Caenorhabditis elegans: one gene and its partners. The protein of the gene in region 1 purifies or fractionates together with the protein of each later gene. This does not show direct contact. Each region holds a gene or a part of one and is shown on either strand. Other genes may lie near its edges.

Region 1 (10,140 bases):
AATAAGGATTAAAGGGTGATAATTTCAGAAAAATTAAAATCCAGCGGCTGTGACAAAGAAAAGTGTGCGAAATTTCAGATTTTAGCAAAATTTGGCTTTTTTTTCTTCGATATTTTGACCGACCATAAAAAATTTTTGTAAAAAAAGTGGTTTTTTCAGAATTAACGCAAATTTTCAGAAAGAGGGTGATAAAAAATTGATTTTTCCATCATTTTTCTCACAAACTCCCCCTGAAAAATCAAATATTATTTCAGATCCCATCCGCCGCCAACACTTCAACCGTCCATTCGTCATCTGTCGTCGAATCTGGAGACTTGCGACGTCTTCACAGTGAGAAACATCCCAACGAGCACTGCCCACCACCAATGGCCGATGCATGATCTCTACTATATTAAAATATTTATTCATTTTCCGTGAAAATCATGACTGTATATCTACATTTGTGCATCAATAAATTGTCTGTGTAAAGCGCTAACACGATCGATTATAAACGATTCGATCTCCAGCTCGGGGGCTCCCGGAGCAAGATTAATCTCCTCTCCTTGCTCAATATTCTTTCTGACGAGAGTTACACGTTGCTTGCGAGTTGATAGCATATTCGCGATGACGAGTTGATGGCCGTACTTGGAGAGAGCAGCTTTTGCCTTTGGAATCAGCTTTGTTTCGTCCGTTTCTAGCTGGAAATTTACGAATTAAATTGAAATTTAGCGGGGGGAAATGGGCATTTTCAACTAATTTTTTGATTAAAAATTGAGAAAAAGCACGAAAAATACAGTAGAAATTGAATTTATGTACTTTTTCTTCCAAAAAAAAAGAGAAAAAACCGTGAAAAAAAAGTACATTGGACATTGAAATATATTGAAATATAGTTTTTTTTTCTAAAATTGAAAAAAAAAACCGATTTTTTTAAAACACCTTTTGCCATTTTTCAATAATTTTTTAGTTAAAAATTGAAAAAAAAATCATATTAAATTACAGTAACCCTTTAAAGGCGCAGGCCTTCTTTTAAAAAGTTTCTGCGGTCGTGCCGATACCCGCCAAAGGAATTTTTGCATTTTTTCCTGGGGTTTTCGTTTTATTTTTCATTTTCACTTCAAATTTCAAAAATACTGTTAAATTTCAACCAATTTCTTGCGGTTTCTTTAGGTTTTCGTCCTTTTTAAACAATTTTTTGCTAAAAAGTGGAAAAAAAAGCTACAGTAACCCTTTAAAGGCGCACACCTTTTTTCAAAAAGTGTCTGTGGTCGTGCCAAGACCCGTCAATATAATTTTTGCATTTTTTCGGGATTTTTTTCGATTAAAAGTGGCAAAAATATCCAATTCCAAGTGGTTTACGGGAGAGAAAACCAAAATTTTCGATAAAATCGCATTTTTTGGACATTTTTGCACAAAAAAATCGGTGAAAATAGCAAATTTCGATCAAAAATCGCAAGAACAAACTTTAAACGAGACGATAAACGCATTCGGGATGAAGCAGGTGACAACTTTTTGAATAACTTTCGGAGCAACGCTGAGCTCCAGGCTCAGCTCGGTGTTGCTGGCGATTTTGTGAGTTGGCAGCTCGGTGACGACAAAATCTGAAACCGCAGCGGCCAAATAAGCCATTGCACGGGATCCCAGAGGATTTAGATGAATGCAAATTTGCTCGAGACGTGACATATACTGATCGAAGGTCTTGAACGGAATGTACAGAATTTTCTCCTCGTACTTGAACTTGTCCCGCAGAATTTGCGCGAGATTCGGCAGATCACACACAACATTCTCCCCATCTAGCTTCAGCGAATTGAAAATATTCGGAAAATGCCTGGAGAACGGCTTCAGGGACTCCTCGCGGTGCATGAAGATCACCGCGTAGCCGGCTCGCAGGAAATATCTGCAGAAAATTCAATTCTTTTTTCGTTGATTTTCATTTTAAATTACTCTGCACTCGCTGCTCCACGAGTTCCCATCGAAAAATTGTCGATAAAGCGGACAGTGTTCTTTTCCAGCGGCACTTGAGTTCCTCCGCTCTGAATTCTGTTTTATTTCAGTATTTCAGGAAAAAAAAGAGAATTACCGTGATAAAAACAATTGGAATATTCTGCTGCTTTTTCAGAAAGCTTTCAATCTCGTCATCAGAGGACATTTTCGATTTAAAATTGTTTTTTTTTAATTTATAAAATAAAATTCAAAATTGATTTCGAGTGGGTACGGTAGACAAAAGTGTGCAAACACCGCCACGCAAAACCACACCAACAGAGTTTTTCACTTTTATTTTCAACATTTTTCGCGAGATTTTACATTTTTCGATGCTCAAATCGCATAATTTTCGAATTTTCAGCGGATTTTTATTGTAAAAATTCAATTAATTACTCAGAAATACACTGGTGAAGGATTCTTCGATTTGACCCATGTAGCGGGGGTTTTAAACTCGATTTTTTAGCTAAATTTTTTTTAAAACAGGGGGTTTCCTATCTAAAATTCACATTTATTGCCAGTTTGAACCTGCTAAAGCACCCTAAACGGCTGAAAATTTAGAAATTTAGAAAAAAAAACGAATTTGCATGTGAAACTCCTCGTTAAAAATAAAAAATGACTCATCCATTTTATTTCATAATAATTCTCAAATCAATTTTATTCTTCCAAATATTATTTCTATATGTATTTATCGACTTTCCGCCGCTCCGGGAGACGGGCGGAACGAAAATCGATAGGGTGGTGCGCCACGCGTTCTCTGCGTCTCCACCATCCTCTCAACTATTCCTTCCGGCCCCTGAACGCACGAGCTTCCCCATTCTTTGAAGGACGAACGTATATGTTCTGAAATAAGCAATTTTTTGATGAAATTTCTTGAAGATTCCGGAAAATTTAGCTCATTTTAGCTAAAAACTTGACTTTTGACAACTTTTTCGTGTTGCAGTAGCTGAAATATGGATTTTTATTGAATTTTCTTTTACTATTCCATTAATTAAGCGAAAATAAACTCTAAACATTGATTTTTTCAATTTAGCCACCCGGTTTTGCCATTTTCGCATTTTCTGGCTATATTTATTGGTTTTTCTTCAATATTGGATTTAAAACACCGCTTGCCAGTTTTTCAGACAGTTTTTTGCAAAAATAATCTATATTTTAGGACAATTTTAAGTTTTAGCGAATTTTACAGACGGAAAATGTCTGGAAAATTGACAAAAGCGGTTTTTCAACAGCAAAAATGGAGGAAAACCAACAAAAAATTGAAAAAAAAAGTCATCAAAAATTTAGAATACGAATGTTTTGGCCCATTTTCTATCGTTTCAAGCAAAAATTTCAAAACGACGTATTCTAATTTTTTTTATTGCTTTATTAGACTCAAAATTGCCTGAAAACACCGAATTTCATAATGAAACTTCTTGAAAACGACTCAAAAAATGTTATGGCGGCTCAAAAAATGGCCTCAATTTAGTAAAATGTGAAATTTGACCTCAAGCGGCTGGAAACTAACTTTTTTTTTGAACTCATCGTCAAATTTTGGGTATACAATGTATTTGGTTTAAAAAGTTTAAAAATCTCGCCGTCCATCGACTTTAAAATACCTAAATCGAGTGGAAAACGTAAGATAATTACATTGTATACTAAAAATTTGACGGTGATTTCAAAAAAAATCAGTTGTTTCCAGCCGCTTGACAAGTAGATCAAATTTCATATTTTATCAAATTTTAGGCCGTTTTTTGAGCCGTCATAACATTCTTTTTTTGAGAAGTTTTCGAGAAGTTTCATTATGAAATTCGGTGTTTTTAGACAATTTTGAGTCTAATAAAGCAATAAAAAAATTCGACGCATATTTTGAGTATATACGTTCAAAATTATTCGTTTTTTTCCAAATTTTCGGCACATTCGGCACAGGATTTTCCGTAGTTTTAGCCGTTTTCTACTGAGAAATTACAAGTTTTCGTTGTAGAAAATTGATTTTTTCGCTATTTTCGTCCATTTCTTCGGGAAAGTTGCAATTTTCGTTGTAAAAAAATGGTTGTTTCGTAGTTTAGCGTTTTTCTCCTGGAAAACTCCAAGTTTTCATTGTAAAAATTGTTTTTTTTCGCTATTTTCGACCCTTTCTTCGGGAAATTTGCAATTTTTCGTTTAAAAAAATAGATTTTTCCTAACAATTTCTCAACACACAATTTTTTTGTTTTGCAGGGTTGATCGCATATTTGCGCGCGTGCTATTTTTTGATGGAAAGTAACCAATCGAACAATGGAGGCAGTGGTAATGCTGCATTAAATAGAGGAGGACGTTATGTACCACCACATCTTCGCGGAGGAGATGGTGGAGCTGCTGCTGCTGCTTCTGCAGGAGGTGATGATCGCCGCGGTGGAGCTGGAGGCGGTGGATACCGTCGTGGAGGTGGAAACAGTGGCGGCGGCGGTGGCGGAGGATATGATCGCGGATACAATGACAATCGTGACGATCGTGACAACCGTGGAGGAAGTGGTGGTTATGGAAGAGATCGTAACTACGAGGATCGTGGTTACAACGGCGGTGGAGGTGGAGGTGGAAACCGTGGATACAATAATAATCGCGGGGGCGGTGGCGGAGGATATAACCGTCAGGATAGAGGTGATGGTGGATCATCAAACTTCTCAAGAGGAGGATATAATAACCGTGATGAAGGTTCTGATAACAGAGGATCCGGTAGATCATACAATAATGATCGTCGGGATAATGGAGGCGATGGGTCAGTGGAAAAATGGAAGAAATTTGCTATGCAAGCTTGCGGCACGGTTTTCAATATTAGCGAAAAAAATTGGAGAAATTCCGAGTTTTCGTTGTAAAAATTGGATTTTTCGTAATTTTAATTTTTTTTTAACCATAAAAATCCAAGTTTCCCATTTCTACGGAAAAAAAAACTTCGAACAGGACAGCTTGTACAAAATTTAAAATTTCCCGTTCTTTTTTTTCCTAAATTTCGTACAGTTTTGAATCGAAAATTGCCATTTTATCGTCGATTTGACAATTTTTTCGATAAGAATCGTCTGAAAAATGCAATTTTTGCTAGAAATGCTCAAAATCTTACAAAAAAATTGACATTTTTCAATGAAAACTACCTCAAAAATGAGTGTTTTACTCATTTATATTTTTTCTCCTAGTTTTGTACAAAAATTTTAGGTTTTCGTTGGTAAAATCGGGGTTTTTCGTAATTTTAACCCTTTTTACGGAAAAAATTCGGTCTAGAAAATGGTTTTTTTTTTGCTATTTTCGACTATTTCTACGGAAAAATTCAAAAATTTCGAGTTTTTTTTTTTGCAAATTTCAACTATTTTCTAAGCTTTCCATCCAAAATTTCGCGCAAAAATTGCAAGTTCAACGCGTTTTCGGAGCATTTTTAGTGGAAAATTCCCAAAATTTGTTTAATTAGAATTTTCTTAGCTTTTCTCCTTATTTTTATAAAATCTAAGCTGAAGTTTAACTGAAAAATCTGCAAAAATGTTTTGAAATTTGAAATTTTTTGAATGTTTTCAATTTAATATAGCAAAAAACGATCCAAAAAGCATTTTTTTAAAAACAGACTTCTCCACGTGTAGTACACGATATCCTCCGTAAATCCACACAGGATTAACCGCGCCGCATGCTTGCAAATTCGGAAAATCAAATCGAATTTTCAAATAATTTATTAATTTCAGCCAAAACACTCGCTGGAACAATCTCGACGCGCCACCAAGCAGAGGCACATCAAAATGGGAGAATCGTGGAGCCCGCGATGAGCGTATCGAGCAGGAGCTCTTCTCCGGACAGCTTTCCGGCATTAATTTCGACAAATACGAGGAGATTCCAGTTGAAGCGACCGGTGACGATGTTCCACAGCCAATCAGCCTCTTCTCGGATCTCAGCCTTCACGAATGGATCGAAGAGAATATTAAAACCGCCGGATACGATCGGCCGACACCTGTTCAGAAATATTCCATTCCAGCATTGCAGGGAGGTCGTGACTTGATGTCATGTGCTCAGACTGGATCTGGAAAAACTGCGGCTTTCCTGGTTCCACTGGTTAATGCTATTCTTCAAGATGGTCCTGATGCTGTTCATCGTTCTGTTACAAGTTCTGGTGGAAGAAAGAAGCAGTATCCAAGTGCTCTTGTGCTCTCACCGACTCGTGAGCTTTCCCTTCAGGTATAAATCTGTCGGATTTCGCGAATTGTACTCCTCTCGGACAACTGGATGTTTTTTTTTTTGAAACATTTGGATTTAAAACACACATTTTATCATCAGAGGGATGTTGCCAAAACAGATACCCAAAAATAAAACAGTCGGCTTTTGGCTCTCGGCGTGAGCCAGAGAAATAAGTGGAACTCGGATCTCGACTCGCGCACCGAGAGTCAACTTTTTTCAAAACCGCAGAGCCCTGGTGTAGACGCTTTTTGCTAAAACTGGAATAGGAGAGCCGCAGGCGCATGTTCTTCAGATTAACTATTTTTTGAATGGTATTAGAAGTTTTGCTTTTATAGGATTATACGCCTCACCCCACTGCGAATTTTTAGACATATAAATCATTTGAGTTAAAAATTTGAATTTTAAGAAATATTCAAAAAACTAAAAAATTATCCGAAAAAATTGTATTTTCTACTATCATTTTAGTGTATCGAACTAAATTGATATGTTTTGCATGTGTAAAAATAGTTTACACTTGGTTACATCATTTTTGTAGGAAAAATCTAGAATTTTCGACAAACATTTTTTTGAACATTTTTTGACGACCAACCAAACAAAATTTTTTTGGGCGGATTTTTTTCCAAACTTTTGTTGTTTTCTAATAATGTATTCTAAACAAAGCAAAATCCGCACACAAAGCTCAATTGAAAACTGAAAAGAAGCGAGATCAGAAAAATGCCTGAAAAAATTGGCTCCGAGTTAGGGCACTTGGGGTGGTCAAAAAATTTTGTGACTATTGTCAAATGAAAGATCATAGTTGATAATGTAAATTCCCAAAGTTTCATAAAAATTGATACGCAGCGAACAAAGTTATGATTTTTGACCCGGAACTTATTTGGAGACCTAATAATTCTCAGAGAAAAGGGCTAGTTGCGAATGCTTGGATAGTCCTTCGAAGAGTGTCGTCATCATCCTGATCATCGAAGAACTCCTCAACTTTCTTCTCTTTGGCTTTTGAGCTGAAAAATCGATAATTTAGTATCTGAAGTTTTCTGTGAATAACTCACCCTGTCTCTGACAGGTTTCGTGCCTTGAACCTCTGCCTCTACCTGACTAGTAAAGGAAGTCAATCTCGTCTCGGACTTCAAATCGAGACGTATGTCATTTGAAAGCTTATGTTTAGACTAGATCACCACAAAAATTTCAGCGGCGGAACTCAACTCTGAACCCCTGAAATCGCCATCTGAAAGTGTTCTAGTGCATTTTTTCGCTGAATTCTAGGTCAAGGAAATGGCCTTAAAAGTGGTTCTGAGCGATTAGAAATTGTTTTTGGGTGTTTTTAGAATCTAACAAACCATCGGCCATCAATCCCTGATTTTTATTGATTTCAATGTTTTAAACCATTTTATAAATATTGAAGATAATTTTCGTATATGTAAAATGAATAAATACGAAATAGTATTTAAAACTAGGAGGGCGCAGAGAAAAAATTTTCAGATGGCGATTTCAGGGGTTCAGAGTTGAGTTCCGCCGCTAAAATTTTTGTGGTGATCTAGGCTAAACATAAGCTTTCAAATGACATACGTCTCGATTTGAAGTCCGGGACTAGATTGACTTCCTTTCCTTGTGAGTATCACATGGAGACTTCGTTTCACTGTCACAGCTGTCATCAACATCCTTTCGTCCTCACGTTTAGGTGGTGGAGTATTGATCGTTCCCTTGGATTCGACATGTGGATGCTTATCATTGACAGTACCCTTGGATGCTCTTTTCTTCACTTTTTTCACTTTATTTGTCTTACCGAGACAAACAAAGCATAATATTCCCAAAGAAGAGCTGAAATTTTTAATTATTTTCCAGACAAAACATACAAAAACTTGATTGAAATACTATGATAAATCAATTTTTATATAAAAAGCATTCAAGGGACGATAAAAAGGTGTAACTTCACGTTTCAAATAACTTTTTAAACGTAACAGTTATTTTTTCACTAAACTTTTTAAATATTTTTTTTCGACTAGGCTGTATTTGAGATTTTCATAATGTTTTACCTAAAATCGCTAACAGCTGCAAAAGTATAGATTGCAGTGAAAACGGGTATTTATTCACATTTTCAGCGTTAAATTGGCTGAAAATGTGAATAAATACCGTATTTCTGCAAACAATTTGACAATAGAGCACATTTGTCAATCATTTGAAAAATGGTGGTAAAAATTGTTCTTGTCCGAGAGGAATACAATGATTTATTGCTCTAAATCCTAATTTTTTTTTTCAAATTTCAGATCTTCAACGAGTCTCGAAAATTCGCCTACCGTACCCCAATCACATCAGCACTTCTTTACGGAGGACGCGAAAACTACAAGGATCAAATTCACAAGCTTCGAGTGAGAAATCAAAGTTTTTTTAGCTATTTTATTTGAAAATTGAAATATTTCGTTTTGTCCGATCAATTTAGAAATTTTTTTCTTGAATTTTCGATATTTTCTTCTTTCTAGAAGAAATTGATATCTTTCCCTATGTTTTTTTAGAAACATACACAAAATTTGTTATAAAATGGAATTTTATTCTTAAATCGAAAAATTATGGTACCTTGCCGCTTCTCACATTTTTTAAATTTTTTATAAAAATTTTCGATTTAAGAATAAAATTCCATTTTATAACAAATTTTGTGTATGTTTCTGAAAAAAACATAGGGAAAAATATCAATTTCTTCTAGAAAGAAGAAAAATTACCAAAACATTAAGATTTTAAAAAAATCGATTTTTTCTTTAAAAAAAAAAAGCTAAAAAACTAAATTTCCCGTCTCTTTTCAGCTCGGTTGTCACATTCTGATCGCGACTCCAGGTCGTCTAATCGATGTAATGGATCAAGGATTAATTGGAATGGAAGGATGCCGTTATTTAGTGCTCGACGAGGCTGATCGTATGCTTGATATGGGTTTCGAGCCACAAATCCGTCAAATAGTCGAATGTAATCGTATGCCATCAAAAGAAGAACGTATTACTGCAATGTTCTCAGCTACATTCCCAAAAGAAATTCAACTTCTCGCTCAGGATTTCTTGAAAGAAAATTATGTTTTCTTGGCTGTTGGACGTGTCGGATCAACATCTGAGAATATTATGCAAAAGATTGTTTGGGTTGAAGAAGACGAAAAAAGGTCGTATTTAATGGATCTTCTTGATGCAACTGGTGACAGTTCTCTAACTCTTGTATTCGTTGAGACGAAGCGTGGAGCTTCTGATTTGGCATACTATTTGAATCGTCAAAACTATGAAGTTGTCACTATTCATGGAGATTTGAAGCAATTTGAGAGAGAGAAACATTTGGATCTTTTTAGGTACAGTAATCCACGGCTGATTTGAAAAGGCTGAACTAAAAAAAATTTAAACTGAAAAAAAAACGAAATTTTTCGTTTTGAAAATTTGAAAATCGGAAAATTTACGAATTTTTTAAAATTAAAATCGAAAAAGCGGAAAATTTACGATTTTTAAACTAAAATCGACAAAAACTAAATTTTTGGAATTTTTGGTTTTTGAAAATTCAAAAAAAAAATCGTAAAATTTTGGTTTTTTTGAAACTAAAATCGACAAAAAAACGGAATTTTTTAAAATGTTTGGTTTTTAAAAAAATAAAATCGAAGAAAAAACAATTATTTTTGAAAATTCGGGAAATTAACGAATTTTTGAAACTAAAATTAAAAATTTTTATTTTTTAAAAAACTAAATTCGACAGAAACTAAATTTTTGGAATTTTTGGTTTTTAAAAATTTGGAAAATCGTAAAATTTACGAATTTTTAATGAAAAAAAAGTTTATTTATTTCAATTTTTCAGGGAAACTCGAAAATTTTTGATTTTTTGCAAAAATTTGACTTTTTCATCGAAAAAATGTATTTTCAGCTCATTTTCTACAGGAAAGTGTATAAAACAGAACAACTCGGTTTTTTTTTTCGTGCATTTCTTGAAAAATTTCATTGAAATTTAAATTTTTATGTGTTTTTTCTGAATTTTTAACATAAAATTCAGTTTTTCGCCGAAAAT
Region 2 (10,140 bases), on another chromosome or scaffold:
ATTTATTTTCATTTTTTCTCATTCTCTCCAGTTCCTGCTGCTATCAATTTCTGTAAAACCCTTGAGAAAATATACGGATCAATAAGACACAGACTGTAACAGATAAGAAAAGCTTCTTCTTCTCTCTCTCTCTCTCTCTCTCTTTTTGGGCGCCAATTCTTTTGCAATTATTCGCATACTTTGCATACATGTTGATTCGATTTGATTACATTGAAATAAACCAAGAAAAAGGTTAGCAGAAATGAGAAGTGATAACAATTCTATGGGTGAGGTGACATGTTTGATGCCTACATCAGAGGGGTGTGTGGTAACAAAAATAACACGGACTGTTCCGCTATTATCTATTTGTCTTGTCAGCAGAAATTCACGTGAATCATCAAAAAATGATACAGTTTGTGTGTTGTCAAATGAAAACATTCACAAAAAGGAAAATTCAACAAGAATTTGGAAATTTCTGGCTACAGTACCTACAGTGTACTCGTGTTGATTGTTATTTTGAAAAAAGTCACAAAAATTATGAAAAACTGAAGAACTGTCTTCTTTCTTCTATTAGCTTCTCGGTTGTCTATGATTTGATTAAAAATGTTTTACAACTGCCAAATCCAAATGTTCTTGCTATTTTTTCTAGAAGTTTTTTGTTTGACACAAGCCTGAATGCATCAAATTAAAATGCATTATCTTCTTGTGTTCCGTTACAGTAACCCACCTGGAAATGCAGTTTGAAGTGAAGTCCACAAGATACCAGCATCTTCATCTAACTCTACTTCAACAGGTTCCACCCCGATTCGAAGAGATTTAACTGCAAACATATCTATTTTACTTTTAAATATCTCCCATCTTCCTTCCGTTTTATTACTTGTTTGATTAGATATGAAACCAAATTATATAAGTAGTTACGGGTATTGAAGAAGATGAAATTGTGTGGGGCAAAAAAATGTAGGCAAACACAAATTTTTTCAAGTTTTTGATTCGAAACACGATTCGTAGGTCATTGGGTAAATAGGCAAAATATCAACTGAAGATATAGAGACTCAGACATTGACATGACCGAATAAGCTCATTGTGCCGGAGAAAAAATGAGGAGAAGGACAAAAGAATTGAAAATGTTTAAAGAGCTTCTTGTTTCTATGTGTTTCTATGTGTGTTTTTTGAGTTTGAAAAATTAAAAAAATGAAATTGAAAGCGAGGAGAGTATTTATATAAAATAAACCACACAAAAAAAATTAAAAATTGAATTCCTATTATGCACATTAGAATTTTCGCCATATCTTACGTGCATGGGTCTCGCCACGCGGACATCGAGTTACTGTAGCTCATATTAATTTATGGACCGAGATTGTATCAACCTTTTCAAATTAAACGAGGTACTGGTGGCGGAATTGTATTAAACAAAAATATGATGTAATATCTACCTGTAAGTTCTAACGAGTTACAGTAACCCGTTGTCAGCGTGGCGAGACCCATGTTCATTAACCATTATCAAATAGTTTCAATAGGAAAGTTCAAAAACAAAAAAACTATTTTCAAAATTGAATACTTGTGCAACTACATAGATGTAATTATTGAAAATCAAACAGCTGTTGTGATCAAGGGTGTCAATGTCCCGTAAAAATTTCGAAAACGGGACAACGGGAATTCCCGTTCCCGTGAAAACACCCCAAAAACGGGACAACGGGAAAAACGGGAAACGGGAATTGACACCCTTGGTTGTGATTAATGCGCACGGATATATTCAGATGGGTCTTGGTGTGCGAAAAAGTTTATGGTAGTCTGCTTTTGGATTTTAGCGACTGCGTTTATTTTCAATAAAAACTACTGGTTATTCAGAATCAGATTTAAAATTATAATGAAAATTAATTTAAAAAAAACTACCATTAACTTTTTTGCGCGCGAAGACCCATCTGAATAAATCCGTGTGCCTTTGTGAAGGCATGTCAGAGTCTATTTAAATTACGATGTAACTTTCTACGTTTTTATCTTCAAATTAAATGTTCGTAGAGCCTATCAATCATAAAGTTTAAGAACTATACTTTAATTCTGAATCTAAAATAACTTTCATTGATAGTTTTATATTTTTATTCTGAATATGCGAGAATAATCTTACTAAAAATCTATTCTCATAGCGATTTCTTCGAATCTTACCTTGTAGTCCTGTAATACTGCTCATTAGTCGGTCGAAGTTTCGAACGGACAGTCTCTCCCGGGTAAATTGGAAGAATGAGAGGTGGGCGCCGAGGCAAAGGGAGGTCGAGACGAAAGAGATGGAGAAGCAGATAGTGTGACGTAGAGATGAAGTGCGGAGAGAAAACAGACAGTGACACGCAAAGCAGCTGATGGGTAGGGAAATGCGGACAATTGCAAAAAAAACAGATGTTAATGTGCAAAAATTTTTATTTTCGTTAAAAATAAAAAGTGGGAAAAAATGAAATATAAAAAGAACATTGAAATTTGAATGTATCGAAGTAGAATATAAAGGTGGATATAAAATTGTTACAAGTCTCTCACATTGAAGAGATCAGAGAATTTAAATTAGATGTTAAAATTTATGGGGAGACGAGTTGATGGCTCAATATGGACGGTATCGGTCACCTCCTGGTGGTCCTCCTCGTCGCTCGCCACCACCACCTCCGGATCCTCCATCTGGTCTCGGGGCTTGGCATTGATTGCATTCCTAGAAGAAAACCCGTGTTTTTTTTTTGAAAAAACAAAATTAACTAACTCTTCTGAAAGCGAAGTTGCTATTTCCGCACTGCTCACATGGCCAGTCATTCTTCCTTTGTTCCATATTAGCATTTCCGCCACCTACTCCACGGCCTCCTCTGAATCCTCCACGATCGCCACCACGGTCGCCGCCTCGGAATCCTCCACGATCTCCTCCGCGGAAGCCTCCTCTATCACCACCTCGGAATCCTCCTCGGTCTCCGCCACGGAATCCACCGCCACCACCGCGACCACCATCGAATCCTCCACGACCACCGCCGCCGCCATATCCTCCACGATCACCGCCAAAGCCACCACGTCCTCCCATAGGACCACCACGACCACCTCCGAAACCGCCTCGTCCACCACGACCACCTCGTTCACCTCCTGCATCAGCGCGGAACTTGGCTAGTGAAATACTCATCGGGCTTGAGCCGCCAGGGAATGGTTGCCCATTGTACATAGTTATAGCTTGTTGAGCTGCAGAAGCATCGACGAATGTTATCATGCATTCTCCTTTTGGTTCTCCGGTGTTGCGATCGGTGTAAATCTTGATTCTCGGTCCGCGATCGTTCTTTGCAATATCTCCGCAGGTACTGAAGACGTCGGCGATGTAGGCTTCATTTGCACTGAAATATAGATACATTTTTTAATTGGGCGATTACAAAACATACGTGGTGGAAATTCCCTGCACAAAGACGGTCTCCTTCAACTCAACTCGCCCATCGGATCCGAATTCGCGGTTTCCTGAAGCAGCACCACCGCCTCCGTATCCTCCTCCACTTGGTGGTCCGTCACGTCGGGGTCCTCTGTCTGCAATGAAAATATGAAAACTTTTACAAACAATTTTTTCGTCCAACTGTCAATAATATAAAGCACAGGAACAAGTATTTTTATATTCGTTTAATGTTTTTTGTTTTTGAATTTCGATGATAAACTCGGTAGGATACCCATTTTTTTTTAATTTTGGTAATAAACTCGTTGTGGTACGAAAGATAAAGCAATTTACGTATTCAATACCTTGATAACCTCCTCTTCCTCCTGGAGGTCCGCCCTGTCTGCAAAACATCATTCTTGAATGGAGTCTTCTGTCTTCTTCTCTCATGCTAACACCACAGTAAAATGTTTTCAGATTTCGACCGCGCAATAATACACCTTCAATTGATTTTTTTTTGTACGCACAAACACGATCATTTAGATTTTAAGATTTTTCAAGCATGAGAGATTTCAGACAGAAGCATCTCCTGCACGCTCGAAGTCGTTTGGTAGACTTCATTTGTTCTTCACTCTTGACTCGTTTTGATACCGAACACACGTAATAATAGCTGAACTGCATAATATTTTGAAGGAAACCGGGCCATAGCCCTACAAATCGATAAAGCACAATGAATTTGTGCTTCATTGCGGACACTGACCTTTTTTCATGAAACTTACAATGACGGACACAATACATTACTCTTCGCAAGTTTTTAATAGTGAATAGATTTTGTATATGAACACTGAATACTCTGAACTCTGTAGCAGTTTCGATTTTCAACACAACACAACAATTTTTGGATGGTTAAGCAAACGAATTTGGAAATACCGCATATTGCTAACGAAACATTCAGATGTTTACCTACCGATCAGAGTTTCCGTCATCCCATCGGCTCCCACCTCGGCGTTCTCCGTCGTAGCCACCTGAAAAACATGGTTTATTATGAATACATTAATCAAACAAGAACAAACCTCTACCACCACCACGTCCTCCGCGATCACCGCCGTAACCTCCGCGTCCTCCGTCGTATCCTCCACGACTTCCGCCACGTCCACCATCATATCCACCTCCTCCACGACTGCCTCCGAATCCTCCACGGCCGCCACCTCTACTTTGCCCGTAGGGGTCAGATCCTCCGGATTGGCCTCCGGATCCTTGGCCGTATGGATCCGCTCCTGGTGGTGGTGGTGCATATGGATTTTGCGGTTGTTGTGCTTGGTCGTGGCCTCCATAAGCAGCAGCGGCGTACGGATCCTGCTGAAATTTAAACTATGAAACGTCTGTGAGCCTGGTGGTATTCAACAGCAGAACTATGCTCCTGAACAATTCTGAGCAAAGCCATGATAGTGAGGCGATCAGCCCACAAAATCTCATATACTTACATCAGGTTGACCTCCTGGTTGTTGTTGTTGTTGCTGTTGATAATAGGCCCAATACGCCTGCTGCCCTTCGGGTGTGCTGTAGTCGGGTTGACTTTGGTCGTAAGCCGCTGAAATCGATAATGTTTTCAAATAACCGGGAAACAGAAATGGCAACGCCCGTGATTTGTATTCGGGAGCTCCCACAAATTCACGCATTAACCTAATTTATAAAACATGAATGGTGTTAGGAGGATAAATAAAATACTTTCAGTGGACACTCGGATTTCGATATTCCAATAAGAAAACGACTATTAAAAAAGAAACTAACCCATTTTTGTCGATATTCAAGTCGAGGCACTCGCTACGTGTCGATGCGTTGACTGAAATTTATCCTTTGAAGAGCAAATATATCTTAAAATTAAAAGAGAAACGAGAAGAGAATGGTTGAGGACAGATGCTGTTCAAAGAAGACGGAGAACGCTGTCCAATACGCGTCGCGGTTGTGCGTCGCGTGTAGTCTCAATGGAGCGCGCACATTTGCAGTTATATCTAGATATATCTGGTTGTAGCGAACCTTGGCAGATTTCAGCGTTCTGCTCCAAAAAACTAAATTTACTGAAAAAAACAATTATACTAAAAAAAATACTTTTTAAAAAACTCCATCTAAAACTTTGATAGTGCTCATCACAAGATTTGAGCACTGCAGGGTAATAAATAGTATACATTTTAACAATTTTGAGAAATTAGGTCGAGGAAAATGAAAAATAAAGTTAACTCAAGAACAAAAATTGCAACAAATGATTACAATTTTACACAGTATCCTCGTCTCGAAATGCGCAAGCGCGACGATTGCTGGCGCGTTTCGCGTGAAATGCTGCGTCTCTCACATTTCCAAGTCTCTCGCATTTCCTTGCTCATTCTAATTCTCATCATTTTCTTCGAACAAGGTTGATTTTTTTTTCGTTTTTTTGTTTCATTTTCATGTTTACATTGCTTGTATTCGGTTTTTCTAAAATTGTATTCACTTCTTTTGAAATATTTTCATGCTGTACCCCAATCTGAACCCATTCACAACCCGTTTGTTAGTTTAGGCAATTGAAAATTAGGATTCACGCTTATCATCAACTCAAAACACTTTGTAAGTCGGAATTTAGAGATCATTCATGGCTTTTCTGCTCGTTTAATTGATTTAATCGAAAAAAAAACATGTGAGTGAGAGAGAGAGAGAGAGATGTACTATAAAAACGGTTTCCTAGAAATGTTTGCTGTCACTAGTTTCTTTTATCGGAAATATAGTTGATGTTAGCGAAATAGTCGATCATCAACTCAGCGCGTAGCTTGAGAGACATCACAGAAGAAAATCGCGTCTCTGTTGTCCTGAAGAGCACATGAAACGCTTCCATCCCTTGTTCTGAAGTACGACCCCAAGTTCTTTTTGCTCTAATGTAAGGCTCGAGGTGAGTACAGAGGATGTGAAGTTTAGGAGTGACTCCCATCGAAGGATGAAGAATTCTGATGTTTCTCTTCAAGTTCTTCAAAGTTTTAGCGAAATCATTCAAATCATCATCTGTGAAGACTGCGTTATTGCTTGCTGACATGAGTGACGCCAAATCATTCATGAAGTTTCTCATATTCTGGATCCAACTACAGTCCGTGAAGACTTTTAGTACTTTGTCAATGTTTTCTGTCCTTAGTAGTTGGCGAACCTAAAGATTAGAATATTTTCAAATACCGAAAATCACAAATTTACTTGATTTCCGGTTAATCCCTGATAGTTAATTTTTTGACTACAGCCAATATAATCCAAAACTTCCTCGAGTTTCTGTTTTGTTGGCCCAGTTCGAGTCGAAATAGCCGTTGTCATGTCTTGGCGAGCAGCTTTCAAGTTACTAAGATGGCTTGTCTCGTGTTGTAAGCGCCTGGCAAGCTCATCAAGTGCCTCATTAGCATGTTCAATCATTTCCTCATTAGAAAGAATATGTTTTTCTTGACATTTTAAACAAGCAGTCGGATGATGTTTAGCTGCCTGGCGTTGATCCTCCGTATATCTACCAGCACACACCATATGAATTGCAAATGGACAAGCAACGCAGAAGAAGATATCTTGATCCTGTTGGCTTTTTGGCATATCACTGACGCAGCATGTTGGAGATCCACAAGATATCGACGAACGTTTGATATTATTCTGCTTTAGTCGACTCTCATAAACTTCCTTGATTTTCGTCGTGAGCACAAGGGCGTTTTGCAGACTTTCAACCACTTTTTGGCAAAATTTTTCTTCTTTCTGAACTATTCCCAATTCCATTCTCTGTTCGTTCATAGAGTCTGGAAGATCCTGTCCAGGGAAGTCGATTTGATTGGCAAGTGCCAAAAGTGAAGCCAAGATATAGTCATTTACCAATCCCATCAGAAGATGCAAACAAGGTGGTACGATACAAAATGGCTCAATGTGGAGTAATGGATGATACCCTGCTGATATCATACCACGCAATGTACGAAGAGGGCCCGATCTATCAAATTCGAAGGATTGAACTGTAGCCTTATTCATACCAGAATGAGCCCATCTGCCGGTACAAAAAATGCAAGAATCTGAAGCTGCCTGTCCTGGATGATTCATTGCAGATGACTCAAATTTCAGATCTCCTACCAATTTCAGACGAATATTTCGAATAACGAGTGCATTTTTTTCTTGATAACGAATGCTTGTCATTTTTTCGAGCTGCTCGAAAATCCCCGCGAAATACTTTTTCAGATTTGTGTAATTGTCTGTACCAGTGTACCATCCAAGAGCCGTCTCGGTGAGACTGCTGTTTGGCTTCTGACAATTCTCGATAGACATACAAACTTTTGTTACTCCATCACCGGTATCTGCGGAGATGATAATATCATCCCCTATCCCTTCATCGAAAACCAGGTTGTCATTGGCAGACAAAGTTTCTAATCTTCTTCTCGTAACTTCAGGAACATTTTTGCAGACCGCGATAATATTTTGAATGGGAATCTCACGTCCAATGCGAGTTTTTGTAGTTGAACTTTCGATCGAAATCTCATATTCTTGATGCACTTGCAATTTCTTTCTGTGCTCGTCAACTTCCTTTCGAGAGCCAAAGATGTCGAATCCGAGCGTTTTTTGAGAGAAACTTTTGAAAGATTTCAAAAATCCGTCCGACAGTCTGAATTTAATTACAGCACAAAACGTCTCTTCAGTCGTAAATCTAGTTCGAAATTTGAACCTTCGGTGTTTCGAGACATATTTCACGAAGTCCACAATGAAAATATCGGCTTCATCCGTTCCCACATAAGTCTGGATGCACTCCAAAACCGTCTCACATCTCTTGTTTTTAGTTGGCTGTGACAACTGGTGATACTTTTTATTTGCTTCTGACGCTGGTTTTAGTGCCAGTTTTCTCAAATTTTCACTCATTTCCTCATTAATTCTTTCGAGCTTTTCTTCCTTTACGAAAGTTTCATCCGCAAACTTTCCCAACTTCTTTTTCGTATCACTGTGAGATCGTTTTTCGAATTCTATTTCGCCTTCTATAGAATCTACTTTCTTAGCCAAATCCTCAACTTTCGTTTTCAGACTCTCATTCAAGTTTTCAGCTTTTTCTCGTAACGACGTCTGATCTTTTATATTTTCCTTTAAATCATCAATTTCAAGCACGTAGGCGTCGTTATCCTTTTTTAATTGATCGAAAGATTTTTCGAGCCGTTTCTGTTTCTTGGCAGCAGGTCCCAAGACGCCCAAGTTCTTGCCGTGCTCTTTCCTTTTCTTTGATACCATCTAAAATGCCAATTGTTCATAAAATCCTTGAAAATCGTGGTTTTAAATGCACTTTTCTTATCAATGACTAAATATTTTTAAAATTAATTTCCTTTTTGAAAATCCCGAATACAAGCAGTGTAATATAGAACGTGACTCAAAACACGAAAAAAATTATTATGGAAGATTTCCGTGAAATTAAGCGATATATGAACTAATTAATTGTTAAACTTCAGGTATTTCAGCTCCATTCTATCGTGCATCCCAAAAATTTCAGATATAACACGACTACAAGCTTTCTTAGTGCATCTTTCAAGGCCATGTGAGATGGGAAATTATGCCACATCTTCATCAAAAAAATTCAGATCGAAGTTCTGGCATGTGTGATATTTTCAGCTACAGTACCCATCAGTTTATTGAATTTTCTGTGATCTTTCTCTTTTCGTAATATTTTAAATTGATTTTAGCAAAAAATAGTATATTTTTGAGCAAATTTCCAAAAACGTGCCAGATATGAAAAGAAATGAGACAATTGTTCGAGAGTCAGTGAGTACTGTATATCTGACAACTTTCGTTCGTGCCAAAACCTCGGTCATAACTTTTGCATGAAAAATGACAATATTCCACATCTCACATAGCCTAGATCGTAGAACATCCAAAAACAGCACGTTTTACAACAAAATTTGATCCAGGATCGTATATCGTCGGATACAGTAGCTGTGATGAACGCCCGGATGAGAAAATAGGATGTATTTTGGTTGTACTCACTGCTCAGCGTTTTCTAGTAGGAACGGAGCAATTTGGAACGAATTGGTCACAATTTTCTGGTCGACTGCGAAAAGTTTGGAATGAAGCAAAAGAATATCGTCCTGGAAATAAATTTGTATATTTCCAGCGAGCTAAAAGTGTCCTAACCTTTGGAGTGGATTCTTGATGTTACTGGAACCCGCTCTGCTTGAACTGATCTTTTTTTCACCTGAAATCTCGCATTTTTTAAAGAAAAAAAGTTACCTTTTCAGAGAATAAGGTGAAAAAAAGCAATTCAGAAGCAGAGTTGTAATGAAATACGGTGCCATATATTTTTATCCGTCCCAGAACTACCTATTGCACTACTTTGAAAATATATGAATTTAGCTACGGCACTGAAAATTAATAAATTCAAAAAAACTGAATTGGAAACAATGCGCGTTTCGATATGTTTAAAGTTTCAGATTTGTCACATATGCTAAATCGTACACAACCTCCGTCTCCACAAAAGTACAGTTGGAATTTCTGAATGAACCTGTAAAAAATTTTTTATGGACAAAATTTAAAAAATTCAGTTGATTTTTCGCTTTGCCGCCATTTTGTCATTTTACGTTGATATGTTATAATTTTATCGATATTCTAATCATTTCATTTTTCCTCACAAAACTTAAGTTGGAAAATAAAAAAAACGGAAAAAAAATTTTCCCCCTTGAAAACGAGAAATGCGCCAGCGATTTTCAAGTGCGCTCCATGGCTAATTTTCATTTGAAGAGACTGTGATTTTAATAAAATTCAAATTCAAATGTGTCGTA
Region 3 (10,140 bases), 5.4 Mb from region 1:
CAGTAGCTCCCGTATACATGAACTCGACCATCGCTCGAACCGAATCATATTTGGCGTCTTCAATGTGAATCTCTCCTTTCTGTGCTTCGATCATGTTTGGTGATGAGAACATGCTTTTGAACACTGGCGAGTTTTGGCCCAGAATGCAACGATGGGCTTTTATATGTTTATTGCCAACATGAATCACACAATCGGTGAATAGCTCATCTTCCCACATACTTCGATTATTTGCGCGTACAATTACTTCAGGCATTTCTTCTTGCTCCTCTGTGCTAACATCTTCGTCCACAACTGGCTCAACTGATATTTTTGATCCAGGAGGGAAGTATTCAACTTCACAAATCAAAAAGAGAGTTCCGTCAGATCGAAGTGCCCCAAGCATCTTATCACGCGAAACTTGGAACTTTCCACGCCCTTGTTGGTTTGTGAAATCTTTGGTATCTCTGCATACACTGACTCTTTGATTATTAGCATCGAGAGCATAAATTTGAAATTCTGTCATGATGGGCTCCTCTCCTCTCTGAAAAAGGTTTTTATATTTTATATATAGAAAATATGAATGAAACTTACGGCTAATCCAACTTGTCTCAAGAAAAACGATACATTATTCACATCTTCATCACGCTTTCCATTTGGATACACATGAAGTTCCCAGCAAACTGTTGGCGCATCAGGGACACTAAACATTCTTGAAATAAGATTCGAACCGTTTTTGATTAGTTTCATCAATTTCTCAAATTGTTCGATTTTCCATTCCAATTTTGTAGAAAGTGCCGTCACACGCGTTGCTTGCTTCGAAACTACTTCTAGACGGCGAGGTTGTGGAGGAAGATCGTCAGCTGAAAATGAAAATAATGTTAAACTCTCAAATTAATTGAGCTATTCTCACTAACCTCTGGAACTGATTGTGCGATTAATCTGCTCCGTGGATGACCACGAGGAACGTGAAGACATATTATATTGCGAATAAGTTTTACCTCTGTTGATAAGTTGAGCGAGCAAGAGGTTATTCTGAAAATAAATTCAATTAAAAGAAAGCTATTCCCGATAATCTCGATAAAAATAAAAGAAAATGATTAAATTCAAAAAGACACAACAACTGGGAAACTCCGCGAATGAATTATTTACGAAAAGCAGGAGTTCTTTGTTAGAGTTACGAAATAAGCAATACGATTTTCGAAACCGATCTACGAAAAATTACACATATTAGAAAAGTATTAAAATTACGAAATCGCCGTTTGATATTCGAAAATACTACCTTTTTTTTAAGTTGGACAGTTTTTAAAGTTTTCAAAAGGAGATCTTCATGAACTCGTCTATGAGGAATAAATGTGGTACATTTCAATATAAAATGGGTAACAATGACAGTTTGGAAATAATTTCCTTTTCGAAAAATTGATATTTGTACAAAATTCGGAACAGTTTCGAAAAAATGATATTACCCCAGTCACATGACTTGAAAAAGGAAAAGTTGCAATTCAGAAGCTTTACTCAGATTCTGAGGGCAATAGAAAATGCCAATAAGTTTTCGAAAAATCAATAAATTTTTTCGGGCAGATGTCTTTCCTCGGCGGCGGCGAACGCGAACGCAAATAATGGCTGCCAAGAAGAGGCGGGTCTATTGATCGAAACATTACGCCGAAGAGTGTTTGAATTACCGGGCACCGTAACCTCAAACACCTGCAGATCTAAGTACGACGCTCCACTCGACACAATTGCGCGCGTTGTTTAGATTTAAGGAAATTTAAATTTTACTTTCGAAAATAGAAATTATCGGTTTTTATTCATGATTTTCTGGTTCAGTCTGAATAAATTCCGTTTTTTAATGTAAATTTTGTGCGCTATTAACTGTAATGCACAATTCCAACTATCAATTCATGTGATCTTACAGTCTAAACAAAGACAAATCTCTCTTTCCAGTTTCTCTACAGTAATACTTATTTTTCCTTGCTCGTCAACTCATTGATTAGTTTTAATTCTATTTTTATATAGTGTGTTATAGGTATGGCCAACTACGGCGGTCATCCCCAAACTGAACCACATGCTATCCCGGATTCAATTCTGGAAGAAAAGTCTCGAAAATGGAAACAACTTCAAGGAAAGCGGTATTCGGAGAAAAAGAAGTTTGGAATGTCCGATACGCAGAAAGAAGAAATGCCACCTGAGCACGTCCGAAAAGTTATCAGAGATCATGGTGATATGACTTCTCGCAAATATCGTCATGATAAAAGAGTCTACCTCGGTGCTTTGAAATATATGCCACATGCCGTTTTGAAGCTACTGGAGAACATGCCGATGCCCTGGGAACAAATCAGAGATGTAAAAGTTCTGTATCACATCACCGGTGCGATCACTTTTGTCAACGACATTCCGCGTGTCATCGAGCCGGTCTACATGGCACAATGGGGAACGATGTGGATTATGATGAGAAGAGAAAAACGTGATCGTCGTCATTTCAAGCGAATGAGATTCCCTCCATTTGACGATGAAGAACCGCCTCTCGATTATGCTGATAATATTCTGGATGTCGAGCCTTTAGAGCCAATTCAAATGGAACTAGATCCAGAAGAAGACGGAGCTGTTGCTGAATGGTTCTACGATCACAAGCCTCTTGCAACAACTCGATTTGTGAACGGCCCAACGTACAGAAAATGGGCATTCAGTATTCCACAGATGTCCACATTGTATCGTCTTGCAAATCAGCTGCTTACCGATTTAGTAGATGATAACTACTTCTACTTGTTTGACATGAAAAGTTTCTTCACTGCTAAAGCACTCAACGTTGCAATTCCAGGAGGCCCGAAGTTCGAACCATTGGTAAAAGATTTACATACGTAAGTGAAAAGCTTCCAGTTGTGTTATGACGCATACTATTTTATTATTTTCAGTGATGAAGACTGGAACGAGTTCAATGATATCAATAAAGTTATTATTCGAGCTCCAATTCGTACCGAGTACAGAATTGCATTCCCATTCATGTACAACAATCTGATCAGCTCGCTGCCTGTTCAAGTTTCATGGTATCATACTCCTTCAGTTGTATTTATCAAAACTGAAGACCCAGATCTTCCCGCATTCTACTATGATCCATTGATCAATCCAATCGTTCTCAGCAACTTGAAAGCAGTGAGTTATTTACAAGTTTCAGCAATGTTTTAAAATAAAATGCGGATATTATAAACAGATTCCTATAAATTTACAAGGTAGTCAGTAGCCGAAATTCGCAATATAAATTTTCCATTAAAGGCGAGAAATCATCCTTTTTGTCGGTGATATCTAGAAATAAAACTGGAGACAATTCGTATTGTATGTCAAAACATTTTCAGACTGAAGAAAATCTACCAGAAGGTGAAGAGGAAGACGAGTGGGAGCTGCCTGAAGATGTTCGACCCATTTTTGAAGACGTTCCACTCTACACCGATAACACGGCTAATGGTTTAGCACTTCTATGGGCCCCTCGGCCATTCAATCTTCGATCGGGAAGAACGAGAAGAGCAGTGGATGTACCACTTGTCAAATCGTGGTATAGAGAACATTGTCCAGCAGGTTAGTTTTGTTTCTATTTTTTTCGTTTCGTTTCTCGCATACTAAGCTGAAATAATATATTCAATTTTTCAGGAATGCCCGTGAAAGTTCGTGTTTCTTATCAGAAACTGCTCAAGGTGTTTGTTCTGAACGCTCTCAAACATCGTCCACCGAAGCCCCAGAAGCGTCGTTATCTGTTCCGTTCCTTCAAGGCAACAAAATTCTTCCAAACAACCACCCTGGATTGGGTAGAAGCTGGATTGCAAGTTCTTCGTCAAGGATACAACATGCTCAATTTGCTCATTCACCGAAAGAATCTCAACTATCTTCATCTTGATTACAACTTCAATTTGAAACCAGTTAAAACATTGACAACAAAGGAAAGAAAGAAATCTCGTTTCGGAAATGCATTCCATTTGTGCAGAGAAATCCTTCGTCTCACAAAACTTGTTGTTGATGCCCATGTTCAGTATCGTTTGAACAACGTCGATGCGTACCAACTTGCAGATGGTCTACAATATATCTTTGCTCACGTCGGTCAACTGACCGGAATGTATCGTTACAAGTACAAGCTCATGAGACAAGTCAGAATGTGCAAGGATCTCAAGCATCTCATCTACTATCGTTTCAACACTGGGCCGGTTGGTAAAGGACCTGGATGTGGTTTTTGGGCTCCGGGATGGAGAGTTTGGTTGTTCTTCTTGCGTGGAATCACACCACTGCTCGAGAGATGGCTTGGAAATCTGTTGTCTCGACAATTCGAAGGAAGACATTCAAAGGGAGTGGCCAAGACAGTCACCAAGCAAAGAGTTGAATCTCATTTCGATCTTGAATTACGGTAAGCTTTAAATGGCAAGAAAACGAATTTATTTATTAATATTTTCAGTGCTGCTGTCATGCATGACATTCTGGATATGATGCCGGACGGAATCAAACAAAATAAGGCTCGTGTTATTCTTCAGCATTTGTCAGAGGCGTGGAGATGTTGGAAGGCTAATATTCCATGGAAGGTTCCCGGACTGCCAACTCCAGTTGAAAATATGATTCTACGTTATGTGAAAGCAAAGGCTGATTGGTGGACTAATTCGGCACATTACAACAGAGAACGTGTAAGACGAGGAGCGACAGTAGACAAAACTGTGTGCAAGAAGAACTTGGGTAGATTGACAAGATTATACCTGAAATCAGAGCAAGAAAGACAACACAATTACTTGAAGGACGGACCATATATCTCTGCAGAAGAAGCTGTTGCAATTTACACGACTACAGTACATTGGCTGGAATCAAGAAGATTTTCTCCGATTCCTTTCCCACCACTTTCTTACAAACACGACACAAAACTTCTTATTTTGGCTCTTGAAAGACTGAAGGAAAGTTACAGTGTGAAGAATAGATTGAATCAATCCCAAAGAGAAGAACTGGCTTTAATTGAACAGGCTTATGATAATCCTCACGAAGCTTTGTCTCGTATCAAGAGACACATGCTCACGCAGCGTGCATTCAAAGAAGTCGGAATTGAGTTTATGGATCTCTACACTCATCTTATTCCAGTCTACGATATCGAGCCTCTTGAGAAAGTCACTGACGCTTACCTCGATCAATACCTCTGGTATGAAGCAGACAAGAGAAGATTGTTCCCGGCATGGGTGAAACCAGGAGATACTGAACCACCACCGCTTCTTACATACAAATGGTGTCAAGGTCTCAACAATCTTCAAGATGTTTGGGAGACAAGTGAAGGAGAGTGTAATGTCATCATGGAAACAAAATTGGAGAAAATTGCTGAAAAAATGGATTTGACACTTCTCAATAGATTGCTCAGATTGATTGTGGATCACAATATTGCCGATTACATGACTTCGAAGAACAACGTTCTCATCAACTATAAGGATATGAACCACACCAATTCTTTCGGAATTATTCGTGGTCTACAATTTGCTTCGTTTATTGTTCAATTCTATGGATTAGTTCTTGATCTTCTTGTTCTTGGACTTCGACGAGCTTCCGAAATTGCCGGTCCGCCCCAATGTCCAAACGAGTTCTTGCAATTCCAGGATGTTGCCACAGAAATTGGTCACCCTATTCGTCTCTACTGCCGGTACATCGACCGAGTTTGGATCATGTTCCGTTTCAGTGCTGATGAAGCACGTGATTTGATTCAAAGATACTTGACAGAGCATCCAGATCCGAATAATGAGAATATTGTCGGTTATAACAACAAAAAGTGTTGGCCAAGAGACGCTAGAATGAGATTGATGAAACATGATGTCAATTTGGGTCGTGCTGTCTTCTGGGATATCAAGGTAAATTTTATTTTTAATTATTTTTTTAAAATTTTAACACGAGGTATAAGAAAGCGAGCAATTATTCGATGGCTGCTCGTTGATAATTCCTCGAAAACTAATGGAAATTAAGCGATTATCCGCCTCATGAACAGATCCATCATTTAACTTGAATGATAAGGTCTACTTGACAGGCGTACATTAAAATGTAGAATTTACTATTTTGATTTTTAAATATTTGTTATTTTACAGAACCGTCTCCCACGTTCCATCACAACTGTCGAGTGGGAAAATTCATTCGTATCAGTGTACAGTAAGGATAACCCGAACATGTTGTTCGACATGTCCGGATTCGAGTGTCGTATTCTACCAAAGTGTCGTACGGCTAATGAAGAGTTTGTTCATCGTGATGGTGTATGGAATCTTCAAAACGAAGTGACAAAGGAAAGAACTGCTCAGTGCTTCTTGAAGGTCGATGAGGAGTCATTGTCCAAATTCCATAACAGAATTCGTCAAATTTTGATGTCTTCTGGATCTACAACGTTCACCAAAATTGTCAACAAATGGAATACAGCATTGATCGGATTGATGACCTACTTCAGAGAAGCTGTTGTGAACACTCAAGAACTTTTGGATTTATTGGTGAAATGTGAGAATAAAATTCAAACGAGAATCAAGATTGGACTCAACTCAAAAATGCCCTCAAGATTCCCTCCAGTTGTTTTCTATACGCCAAAAGAAATCGGAGGACTTGGAATGCTATCTATGGGACACGTCTTGATCCCACAGTCTGATCTTCGATGGATGCAACAAACGGAAGCTGGAGGTGTCACTCACTTCCGTTCCGGAATGAGTCACGATGAAGACCAATTGATTCCAAATCTGTACAGATATATTCAACCTTGGGAAGCAGAGTTTGTCGATTCTGTTCGTGTGTGGGCAGAATATGCGCTCAAGAGACAAGAAGCCAACGCTCAAAATAGAAGACTCACTTTGGAAGATCTCGACGATTCATGGGATCGTGGAATTCCGAGAATCAATACTTTGTTCCAAAAAGATCGTCACACATTGGCATACGATAAAGGATGGCGTGTTAGAACCGAATTCAAGGCTTATCAAATTCTGAAGCAAAATCCATTCTGGTGGACACATCAAAGACACGACGGAAAGTTATGGAACTTGAACAACTATAGAACAGACATGATTCAAGCACTTGGAGGAGTAGAAGGAATTTTGGAACATACATTATTCAGGGTAAGTGTTAACAGATATAATTTGCTTTCTTGTCTTATATGTGTATTTTTAGGGAACCTACTTCCCAACATGGGAAGGTTTGTTCTGGGAACGTGCATCTGGATTCGAAGAGTCGATGAAATTCAAGAAACTGACAAACGCCCAACGTTCTGGACTTAATCAAATTCCGAATCGTCGTTTCACTCTCTGGTGGTCTCCAACTATCAACCGTGCTAATGTCTACGTCGGTTTCCAAGTACAACTCGATTTGACTGGAATTTTCATGCACGGAAAGATCCCGACGCTCAAGATTTCTCTCATTCAAATCTTCCGTGCTCACTTGTGGCAAAAGATTCACGAGTCAGTAGTTATGGATCTGTGTCAAGTTTTCGATCAGGAACTCGATGCACTTGAGATTCAAACAGTCCAAAAAGAAACTATCCATCCGAGAAAGTCTTACAAAATGAACAGTTCGTGTGCCGACGTACTTCTCTTTGCTCAATACAAGTGGAATGTGTCTAGGCCTTCTTTGATGGCAGACAGCAAGTGAGTTTATGTGAAATGTTGTTTGAAAATGATATACTTTTAGCAAAGATAATTTTCTCAAAAATTTCTGAACTTTTCTTTTAAATAGTTAATTTTAATTTTTCAGAGATGTCATGGATAACACCACAACTCAGAAATATTGGCTCGATGTGCAGCTTCGTTGGGGAGATTATGATTCTCACGACGTTGAACGATACGCCCGTGCAAAATTCCTTGACTATACCACTGATAACATGTCGATTTATCCTTCACCGACTGGAGTTCTCATCGCAATCGACCTCGCGTACAATCTATATTCTGCGTACGGAAACTGGTTCCCAGGAATGAAACCATTGATTCGACAGGCGATGGCAAAGATCATCAAAGCCAATCCAGCCTTCTATGTGCTGCGTGAACGTATTCGCAAGGGTCTTCAACTCTACTCGTCGGAACCAACTGAACCTTATTTGACAAGTCAAAACTACGGAGAGTTGTTCAGTAACCAAATTATCTGGTTCGTTGATGATACCAATGTCTACCGTGTCACCATTCACAAGACATTCGAAGGTAACCTAACGACCAAGCCAATTAACGGAGCCATCTTCATCTTCAATCCACGTACTGGTCAGCTTTTCCTCAAGATCATTCATACATCCGTATGGGCTGGACAGAAGCGTTTGTCGCAGTTGGCCAAGTGGAAAACAGCAGAAGAAGTTGCTGCCCTCATTCGTTCGCTTCCAGTTGAAGAACAACCACGCCAGATCATTGTAACAAGAAAAGCTATGCTCGATCCATTGGAGGTGCATCTTCTCGATTTCCCGAATATTGTCATCAAGGGATCTGAGCTCATGTTACCATTCCAAGCTATCATGAAGGTTGAAAAATTCGGTGATTTAATTCTCAAGGCCACCGAGCCACAGATGGTGTTGTTCAATCTGTACGATGATTGGCTCAAGACAATTTCTTCATACACTGCTTTCTCTCGTGTCGTTCTTATCATGCGTGGAATGCACATTAATCCAGATAAGACTAAAGTTATCTTGAAACCAGACAAGACTACTATCACCGAGCCTCATCATATTTGGCCCACACTTTCTGACGACGATTGGATCAAGGTTGAATTGGCTCTGAAGGATATGATTCTGGCAGATTATGGAAAGAAGAACAATGTGAATGTTGCTTCATTGACTCAATCTGAAGTCAGAGATATTATTCTTGGAATGGAAATCTCTGCGCCAAGCCAACAACGTCAACAGATTGCGGATATTGAGAAACAAACGAAAGAGCAGAGTCAAGTTACTGCAACGACTACACGAACTGTCAATAAACATGGAGATGAAATTATCACAGCAACTACATCGAATTACGAAACAGCATCGTTTGCTAGTCGTACAGAATGGAGAGTTCGTGCTATTTCATCCACAAATCTTCATCTTCGAACTCAACACATCTATGTCAATTCCGATGATGTCAAGGATACAGGATATACTTATATTCTTCCAAAGAATATCCTCAAGAAGTTCATCACTATCTCGGATCTTCGAACACAGATTGCTGGATTCATGTATGGTGTATCGCCACCTGATAATCCACAAGTAAAGGAGATTCGGTGCATTGTCCTCGTTCCACAGACTGGAAGTCATCAGCAAGTCAATCTTCCAACACAACTTCCGGATCATGAGCTTCTTCGCGATTTTGAGCCACTTGGATGGATGCACACTCAACCAAATGAGTTGCCACAATTGTCTCCACAAGATGTCACAACTCATGCCAAGGTAACATAATTTAGGATATTTGTAGTCAAAAATTATAATTGAACTTGCTACATTTAAAAAAATTATCCCGAAGAAAATATTCTCAAAACGAAATGATAACCTGGATAAATGTAATATTTCAGCTATTGACCGATAACATCAGCTGGGATGGAGAAAAGACAGTGATGATCACGTGCAGTTTCACTCCTGGATCTGTTTCTCTGACTGCATATAAACTTACACCATCGGGATATGAATGGGGTAAAGCGAATACCGACAAAGGAAATAATCCAAAGGGATATATGCCAACTCACTATGAGAAAGTGCAAATGCTTCTATCTGATCGATTCCTTGGATACTTCATGGTTCCATCAAACGGAGTGTGGAACTACAATTTCCAAGGTCAACGTTGGTCGCCTGCAATGAAGTTCGATGTGTGTCTTTCTAATCCAAAGGAGTACTATCATGAAGATCATCGGCCGGTTCACTTCCATAACTTTAAGGTATTCGATCTAGTTCTAAACAATTTTAATATTTCTTTCATTTTAGGCATTCGACGATCCACTTGGAACAGGAAGCGCCGATCGCGAGGATGCATTTGCATAATCATTTTTCTTATTTTATCTAAAAATTTATTATTTTTTCTCTTCTAAGGACCTCCATAATTTATTCTCATTTTGTTGAATTTCATTTTTTGGTTTTTTTAATCACTAATCTATTTCTCTCGTTTTTTCTCTTCCCTTCGAATCTCCTAAGCAACACTGTGTGTATTTTCCCAAACCCCCTCCCAGTCCTTTTCAACCAAATAAGGTTCGTTCTGT

What was found.
Region 2: the proteins of laf-1 (region 1) and fust-1 fractionate together in Caenorhabditis elegans (co-fractionation; one large-scale study listed by BioGRID). This does not show direct contact.
Region 3: the proteins of laf-1 (region 1) and prp-8 fractionate together in Caenorhabditis elegans (co-fractionation; one large-scale study listed by BioGRID). This does not show direct contact.

What each region holds. Positions count from the first base shown.
Region 1 is NC_003281.10:2,773,066-2,783,205, reverse strand, and holds the start of laf-1 (ATP-dependent RNA helicase laf-1), read left to right. Parts: upstream 1-4,152; 5' UTR 4,153-4,187; coding exon 4,188-4,690; intron 4,691-5,636; coding exon 5,637-6,123; intron 6,124-8,384; coding exon 8,385-8,486; intron 8,487-8,915; coding exon 8,916-9,439; intron 9,440-10,140. Other genes in the region: Y71H2AM.20 (Serine/threonine-protein phosphatase 2A activator), read left to right, coding at 255-380; Y71H2AM.6 (DNA/pantothenate metabolism flavoprotein C-terminal domain-containing protein), read right to left, coding at 435-677, 1,441-1,873, 1,921-2,009, 2,057-2,125. UniProt on the Caenorhabditis elegans protein: Multifunctional ATP-dependent RNA helicase. Plays a role in RNA remodeling, but is not required for RNA unwinding. Binds to RNA in a concentration-dependent manner to stimulate annealing between two complementary strands of RNA.
Region 2 is NC_003280.10:7,147,710-7,157,849, reverse strand, and holds fust-1 (RNA-binding protein FUS), read right to left. Parts: upstream 5,199-10,140; 5' UTR 5,151-5,198; coding exon 5,147-5,150; intron 4,947-5,146; coding exon 4,840-4,946; intron 4,715-4,839; coding exon 4,429-4,714; intron 4,381-4,428; coding exon 4,323-4,380; intron 3,759-4,322; coding exon 3,721-3,758; intron 3,514-3,720; coding exon 3,375-3,513; intron 3,330-3,374; coding exon 2,720-3,329; intron 2,672-2,719; coding exon 2,567-2,671; 3' UTR 2,378-2,566; downstream 1-2,377. Other genes in the region: C27H5.2 (TAR DNA-binding protein 43 N-terminal domain-containing protein), read right to left, coding at 707-799, 2,143-2,167; T07F8.1 (Zinc finger PHD-type domain-containing protein), read right to left, coding at 6,090-6,524, 6,569-8,602.
Region 3 is NC_003281.10:8,162,373-8,172,512, forward strand, and holds the start of prp-8 (Pre-mRNA-splicing factor 8 homolog), read left to right. Parts: upstream 1-2,000; 5' UTR 2,001-2,004; coding exon 2,005-2,834; intron 2,835-2,888; coding exon 2,889-3,126; intron 3,127-3,167; exon of another isoform or gene 3,168-3,300; intron 3,301-3,326; coding exon 3,327-3,546; intron 3,547-3,618; coding exon 3,619-4,363; intron 4,364-4,411; coding exon 4,412-5,828; intron 5,829-5,841; exon of another isoform or gene 5,842-6,011; intron 6,012-6,059; coding exon 6,060-7,061; intron 7,062-7,113; coding exon 7,114-7,586; intron 7,587-7,692; coding exon 7,693-9,340; intron 9,341-9,462; coding exon 9,463-9,822; intron 9,823-9,868; coding exon 9,869-9,925; 3' UTR 9,926-10,140. Other genes in the region: bath-42 (BTB and MATH domain-containing protein 42), read right to left, coding at 1-520, 571-839, 894-954. UniProt on the Caenorhabditis elegans protein: Functions as a scaffold that mediates the ordered assembly of spliceosomal proteins and snRNAs. Required for the assembly of the U4/U6-U5 tri-snRNP complex.